2 linked regions of the Oreochromis niloticus genome follow. The protein of the gene in region 2 interacts with the protein of the main gene of each other region in a pairwise test. Links are inferred from orthologs where the notes say so. Each region holds a gene or a part of one and is shown on either strand. Other genes may lie near its edges.

Region 1 (3,755 bases), on a different chromosome or scaffold from region 2:
ATAATCAAGGCTTTATAGCTACCCAGTTATTCAAGTTCGCTCCACACTTGACACATTAGGAGTAGGAACCCTCTCAATTTCTGATGTTTGATTGAGACTTCTGCAATTAACATACATAGCACCTACAACATAGCCTACACCATTGCCAGCATTTAAACCTGTCGATGGTGACATGTAGTTATATTCCCAGGGTCATGAACATTGGAGCTGTAGGTTAGATTGAGGGGTATCATTAGGGTTAGCTGTTATGACATAGGCATAGCACAGAGCTATACTTCCAGTGTGGTACAGAAGCCACTTTGACAAACCTGCAGTATTTTAGGTAAAGATTTCAAAGAGCTTCTTTATCACTTAAAATTAAGTGTTCGTGTATGGGTCATGCACCCCAGCAGGTGCACGTAACGAGGTCACAAAATTTTTTTTATTAATTTTTTTTCTTGTATGTTGGGTTCCTAACGTCTCCAAAGAAATGAAACAACAAGCAGCGAAACGCTGAGAAATCTGCTGCCACAGCTGTACAATCTGTAGGCTTCACTAACCCCCAAACCCTGACATGAGTGACCACAGGGCAGCTGTCCTACCTGAACAGTTGGTTGTCTGTCTTATTGGCTGCCCTGCCGTCACATGACACACACAGAGACACAGCAGTGGGAGGTAATGGGCACGTGCAAATGGGGGGGGAAAAAAAAGTATACAGCAGGAGAAAGAGGAAAGACACATGATAAACAACAAATATGCATCACACAGACGATCGCACAGTGCAGGGATATATGGTGAAAGTGGTGACGAACGGTATTAACAAACAAGACAGGTGCACTACATCCAGTGTTTTATTAGAGGAGATGCAGATTGAATGACATAAATGAACATTATTGTGCAATCTTTTGCTTTTTTTCTGAAGTCAACAAGCCGTCTGAGCTGTTCTTCCAGTGGCCTCACTGAGCATCCGTCAGATAAAAACAATGCTCACCTGGGAATACCACATTTTTTGGAGCGAGGCGTAAAGAGCCGTACCTTTACCCACATAAACTGTCTGGGTGTAGCGGATGTGAGGCTCCTACCTGTCCAGCGTGGAGGTGGGTTGGCGGAGACTCATGTCTGCAGCCTTTATAGACACTCCTCTGCTTCCTGGTGCGGGATTCAAAGCTGTCACTGGGCTGCTTTTGTTATCACCACCATGATCTCCGTTTCCTCTTCAACTTTCAGTCCGTACAATGAGGAGCCTTTCTGTTGCGCTTTGATCAGATCTCCACGCTACAGGGCTGCGGGTTTAGATCAGACACAGTGCTCTTCATGTTTCACACCAGTGGCTCCAGTTTTAGGCTCAGTAGGATTTAAAGGAAAGTGCTGCTAAAACTATAAACGCTCAAATCTCCCAAGGTTTGTCTTCACTCCTTTACATTAGTGGTTAAAATTAAATACAGATCGTTGGTAGCTTGGTGCTGAGATTTCGCAGTAGTGGCAAATGGATAAAGGACAACCTACTTCCACAAAGGTCATCAATCATGAATGAATGGGCTGATATGTCTGGCTATGCTCCAGGAGGTCAACAACATCCCATGTTGGGGTTTTTTTGTTGTTGTTTTTTGTTTTTTTTAAGTGTCTGTGTCAGATTTAAAGCAACTGCCTAAACATAATATTCAGAGGATTAACTGGATATTCGTTGATTACGTGCAATTAAAAGAAATACTAATGCGAACCTGACACTCACTTGACTCAGACTTGTTTACATGTGGAGGCTTCAGCAGAGATCCCAGCCTAAATAATCCCATTCAAATCAGCACTGCTCATTCAGCTTGCTGATAATGCTTAAAAATAGGAAAGCCACCACAAAGTGAATATAATATGATCTGTAGTGATGTGTATGTGGCTATCTAGTGCAAATTACTCAATACACAAGTATCAACAGCATGCATTAGTTAAGCAAAAATATATATACGTTTACAAACAGCATTATCACTCCTCCGAGCTAGCTGTAAGCTACAGAAAACAGTCTGTTTTTCTTAACAGTGTAAACAACAACAAAACCAGTCGCTACAAATGGCTTTGCAATAACGCTACTGTCTAACTAAAGAGCTAGCCAATTAGCAGATTACTTGGCATTGGCTAACCCTGCAGTTGGAGCTTATAATCAAATAAGCACAGCAAAGAAAGAAAGCGAAAGGTGCTCCTCGCCTTTCACCTGTGGCTTTTAGCAATTAGCTGACTTGGAGATGATAACAGGTTCGTAAAGAGGCCTGCTAATTCCAGCTAGCGTTAGCTCGGTGAAGTCAGCTCGACGAATCGGCCTCTTTCAACCTGCGGCATGGCGTTATATCTCACGGCGAACCGAAGCGCTGCGTGCCCGGCTTTCACCTGCCGAGCCTCCGAGCTAGTCTGCTAACCGGCTATGTCTGCAAGACGAAAGACCAGCATGACTTTAGCTGCATGCGAGCAGGTGGATATCACAGTAAGAGGGGAAACTGGAGTCCATGCAAGGCCCGGGTTGTTATATCCACCAGTCTTGTTTTCATGCAAATTCACACGCAGAGTTGCATATTAGCTAGCTAGCCAAAAGGCAAAGCGATTCCAGTAAGAGCTCCACCTCAGGTCTCCTTTCCAAAAACACAGCGGATACAGCAGGATCTGCTCTTCTCTCGTGATCTGCCACAAGAACCCGGATTTAATTCCTAATCGTCGTGGTATATGTTTATCTCCTCTCCAGTCAAAGTCCTTCACATAGAGCTGTATGTTGTGCTGTTATCTTGCTGTCTTGACTGGCTCCTGATCCACCACCATATCCTCAAGGATCACACGACGTAGACAGAGCACACAGAGCGTAAACAGCGCCCTCGTTTGGTCAGGGTTGCGTACTACAACCGGACTGTAACCAGACAGGATAAGTTGGAATTGCATCCGTTCATGGAAAGATTTTTTTTTTTTTATAAAAATATATTTTTAAATCATTGACATAAATATTTATTTTTCCATCAATCTGTGTCACAAACACTCCAGCTTGTTTTTGCCACAGATTTTTTATGAAACATATTTCCATAAAGAATTAATAGCATCTTATTAAAAAATTATGGAAAATATATTTTTAAATATTTTCTTATATTTCTTTCTATGAAGATTTTTTTTTCATATGAGCAAGTCAAAGTATTGGGTTCATATCACAAAATTAGTTAATAACTCCAAATTACCATTACCACTCACTTAGTAACTCAAAATTTTGAGTTAGGTAACTTGAAATTTTGAGATAACTAACTCGAATGTTTGACATACTATTTCAAAATGTTGAGTTATTATGTAAAAGAAAGCTCTTTAAATGTTACTCAGATGTTTCTTCAATTTCTAACATAATAACTCAAAATTCTGAGCTATCATATTAAAATGTCAGATTATTGTGTCCAAAAAAACTGTATCTTTAAATTTTGACTTATTTAGAAGTTACTTGAAATTTCAAGACAGTAAGTCTAAATACTGAGCCAATCGAAATAAAAATGTTGACATAATAACCAGAAATCTGATTCAACTCAAAATCAGAATCACCTTTATTGGTTGAGTATATGTGCACACTGGTTTTTTACATAGCTAAGTTAGAAACAAAACAATACAGCATGCTTTGGTTCAGTAGCAGGCACGCTGGATATTTTAGTAGTAGACAATATGTGAGTGACCTAAGTGTTCATCAGAGTGTGGCCTATGGAAAGAAACTGTACAGATGTCTGGTTGTTTTGGCATGCTATGCTCTGTAGCGCCTACCAGAGGGGAGC
Region 2 (3,755 bases):
CACACCGCCTCTATTTTAAATCTGTTAATTGATTTTCATCCGTTTCTATTTATTTCATCTACGTGTGAATCACCTTTACTGTAAATTATCAAGATTATTAAACATTGGTTATGATATTTCTTTCATTATTTGGACTGTTTTTATGCATTTGATTCTTTTTGTTGTTGTATTATAATCTTATGGTCTTACTTATGCAGCATGTGGGCAGCTCCTGTTCTTTTAAAAGAAAGGAGGTGGAGGAATAACATAGTTTTACTTGTGAGTTAAACTGAAATAATTTAATTGATAATCAAAATTCATGTTTGGATTTTTTTCAAAGTCTCTGTGAATTTTTTTTTCTGTTTTTCTCTAAAAGAACGAGGTTTTGTATAAATGAAACCTGGAGTGTGTACAATTAGAAATCCAACGGGAAAATCATTTAAACCAGAATTATAAGAAGGACGTGGTGTTCAAATGAAAAGCAGCACAGATGGAGGTACGAGTAAATCTTCTGAGAGGAAAAGGAAGGTTTTTAAAACTTAATGTTGAGGAAAAGTCTAACTTTTTAGGCAGATTCTTTTATATTTCAGCTGCAGCTTTCATGTCCTGGTGACCATTAAAAATTGGCAGCAGCCATCAGAGGATGGGTACACTGAGGTCAGAAAGGTATGGACATGCTCAGTAACAACACTCAGGCAGGCTGTGATGGTTAAAAGATGCTCGGTCGGTACTAAGGTGCCCAAAGTGTGCAAAGAAAATATGCTCCACACCATTTCAGCACCAGCAGCCTGAACTGTTCATACAAAGCAGGATGGATTCATGCTTTCATGCTGTTTAAAGTCTGTCCCCATCATGTGAATGATGCAGCAGAAATTGAGACTGACCAGACTCTTTCCAGACTTCTCCTGCCCAGTTTTGGTGAGCCTGAGGGAGCTGCAGCCTCAGTTTTCTGTCGACCCAGTGCGGTCTTCTGCTTCTGTAACCCTGCTTCAAGGTTCAACGTGTTGGCCGTTCAGAGATGCTCTTCTGCATACCTTGGCAGCAATGGGTGGTTATTTAAGTAACCGCCGCTTTCTTATCGCCTCAAAGCAGCCTGTCAACACATCATTTTAACGCAGAGAGATGCAGCCCACAGGGTATTTTCCCTTTTACAGACCATTTTCTGTAAAGCCTGGAGATGCATGTTTGGGAAAATCCCAGCAGATGATCATTTTCTGAAATACTCGGATAGACCCTCTGACACCAACAGCCATCACTGTTCTTCCTCATTCTGATGAGTAGGTCAGCTTGACGAGGTCTACATGCCTAAATGCATTGAGCTGCTGCCATGTGGTTGCCCCATTAGATATTTGTGCTAACAAGCAATTGAACAGGTGTACCTAATAAAGTGGCTGGTGAGCTTAAGTGACTGGAAACATTCCCACGATAGCAAGATGTCTGGAAGAAGAGTGGGTAAACTGAAGCAGGTTAACTGAGCACTGGAATCCAGATTTAAACACAGTTTCTTTCTGTCTTTAAAAGCAGGAACTAAGTATCTGAACAAACCATTTTCCCCACTTTTCCATGTATTGTGTTCAGTCATTCAAACCTTCATGCAGAACATCAAGAGTTTGAACAAAAAACATTCAGCTGTTCATAAAAATTACAAAATAAAGGAGCATTCTGCTCTTTTTCCCACTTTGTCAGCAAACCACAGACTCAGACCGATAATCTCCTTCAGCACCATCAACCGGATTGTCACTGCAAATTAAACCAGAGCGCCACTTCTGCCTCTGGAAGGAGTCCCAACAACTTTACTGTTCTATAGGCTACATTCAGCAGGAGCCAACATGCTGCAACCACAGACAGGAAGTCTGATACACCAACAAAGCAGCAGTTAAAGCCTGAGCGGGATCTGTGGAAGGGTAACACAGTGCAACTTTAAAAACTGAATCAGGACCAGCAGATCTGCATCAGCCTGGAGTCATGTGGTATCCAGGAGCTTAAGGGGCCCTGAGGGCCCAAACAGAAAATATCAGCGGCCCTGCCCAGTTTCCCTAGAAAAACTGACCACATTAATTCAAACTGGAACAAAGAGCAGGTCCAGCAACTTTCTGTGTGTTTGTGTAGGAGGAGGAGAGGGGGAGGAGAGGGGAGGATGGGGAGGGAGGGGATGGTTGGAGGGAGGGGGCGGGGGGGTCTGTATTGTTTTTTGTTTATGTTATTCGTGATGCTCACTTCCCTTATGCAAGTCTGCAAAGGTGACTTCTAAACTCACTCCAGCCATAACAGCAGCACAGAGTGTGAGAGTGTGTGTGTCTGTTGGAATGCCAGCTATTCAGTGGCTGCTGCGGCCGTGCCGTGCCATGCCGTGCCAGGGCAGGCTGGAAACGGCCGACACGGACACACACAGAAGCACTCAGTGAGGAGGCAGACTTACAAACTGAACCTAGCACCACATTTATCACTCCTACTCTTAAACCGGCTTCACTCAGACCGCCGGCCAGACCCCGTGACAGGAATGTCCACTTTTAAACTCCCAGTCCAGAGTCTGAGCCGCTCTATATTTCACGGCTCTGTAAATTTAACCCGGGGAACATGACCTGGTGCTGGTCATATTATCAATGTTTCTGAGCGGAGTCAAAGAGCATCTCCTCCCGGTTCTAAAACCATCGGCAGCTGCCTCTCTCAGCTACAAAGCCTAACGGAAAACCGGCAACATCTAAAACTACTACATTCCCGAATGGAGTCTGGCGTGTGTCAGGCAGACACGCCTGACTCTCACGCCTTTTCCTTCCTGCAGCAGCGGGACAACTCAGAGCCGTGACAAGGGGGGCCGATGAGGTCCGGGTCCGACTCACCTGAGCTCGCCAGGCTGCTGTGCCGTCCTCCCAGCGTCAGAGTAGCCCGAGAAACTTCCAAAAGACCCCAGCAGACACCCGGATCCGCACAGTCCGCGCGGAGAGACGCACAACAGGTTTGACAGAGACCCCGCCCCGCTGCGCTCCAAGGTCCACAGCCTAAAACCCACCGCGAAGCCTGGCTTAGAAATCCAGAGGTTTTAATAATTAAAAGCTATCGATCCCATCTGTCCAGTCAACACTCAGTGTCAGTCAGATTATTGATCCTCTGAAAGTGAAATACTTCATGCATGGGTTTAATATGAGAAAAAAAAAGTTATATGAATAAAATAGGCGACTTTTACCTCTGATACTTAAGATGGGCCAATTAAATCCACGTTTAAATAACCTGACCCGTAAAGTCTTATTATTAATATTACAATGTGGGGTTTTTAGCGGATGAGGATGTATCCAGATACTTTTGTTCTATTAACAGTACTAACAAGTAAACGTGTAGTTAGTATAGTACAGACGCATCCCTAACAGTAAATTCTCGAATATGATGCTACAGTTTGTATCCGTGTGACGTTTATTTAAATAGTCATGTGGTTAAATAGTCAGAGTCTCCGTAAACCACCAGTACAGTTTTCTAAACCACAGTGGACTACATGTGTTTTATTAGCGAAACTCTTAATGTGAAAAGCCAACGGGGATTAAACTGGTGAAACTGGGCAGAGGTAGGAGTGCTTTTAAACCACGGGCTGGCAGGGGTTAAAGGTCCGGAACGCAGCTGAGTCTCACAGGCATGTTAGCGCGTATTTCTGTTGAATGAGTTCCTTTTAAATAAGCCCGGCATCGTTTCCAGCGACGGCATGCACATACTCGCTCAGTAATCAGAAGCTAATGACATCCTACGAACAGGATACACCCTCAGCACCTTTTCTAGTCCTCATCCAT

What was found. The genes of interacting proteins can lie anywhere in the genome.
Region 1: the proteins of plxnb3 (region 2) and arhgef11 interact in a two-hybrid assay, tested with the Homo sapiens proteins (2 studies listed by BioGRID and IntAct). The link is inferred for Oreochromis niloticus from reciprocal best matches to the Homo sapiens genes PLXNB3 and ARHGEF11.

The regions. Positions count from the first base shown.
Region 1 is NC_031967.2:26,816,839-26,820,593, forward strand, and holds the start of arhgef11 (rho guanine nucleotide exchange factor 11), read right to left. Parts: upstream 2,826-3,755; 5' UTR 1,097-2,825; coding exon 1,062-1,096; intron 615-1,061; coding exon 582-614; intron 1-581. UniProt on the Homo sapiens protein: May play a role in the regulation of RhoA GTPase by guanine nucleotide-binding alpha-12 (GNA12) and alpha-13 (GNA13). Acts as guanine nucleotide exchange factor (GEF) for RhoA GTPase and may act as GTPase-activating protein (GAP) for GNA12 and GNA13.
Region 2 is NC_031984.2:5,162,972-5,166,726, reverse strand, and holds the start of plxnb3 (plexin-B1), read right to left. Parts: upstream 2,972-3,755; 5' UTR 2,820-2,971; intron 1-2,819. UniProt on the Homo sapiens protein: Receptor for SEMA5A that plays a role in axon guidance, invasive growth and cell migration. Stimulates neurite outgrowth and mediates Ca(2+)/Mg(2+)-dependent cell aggregation.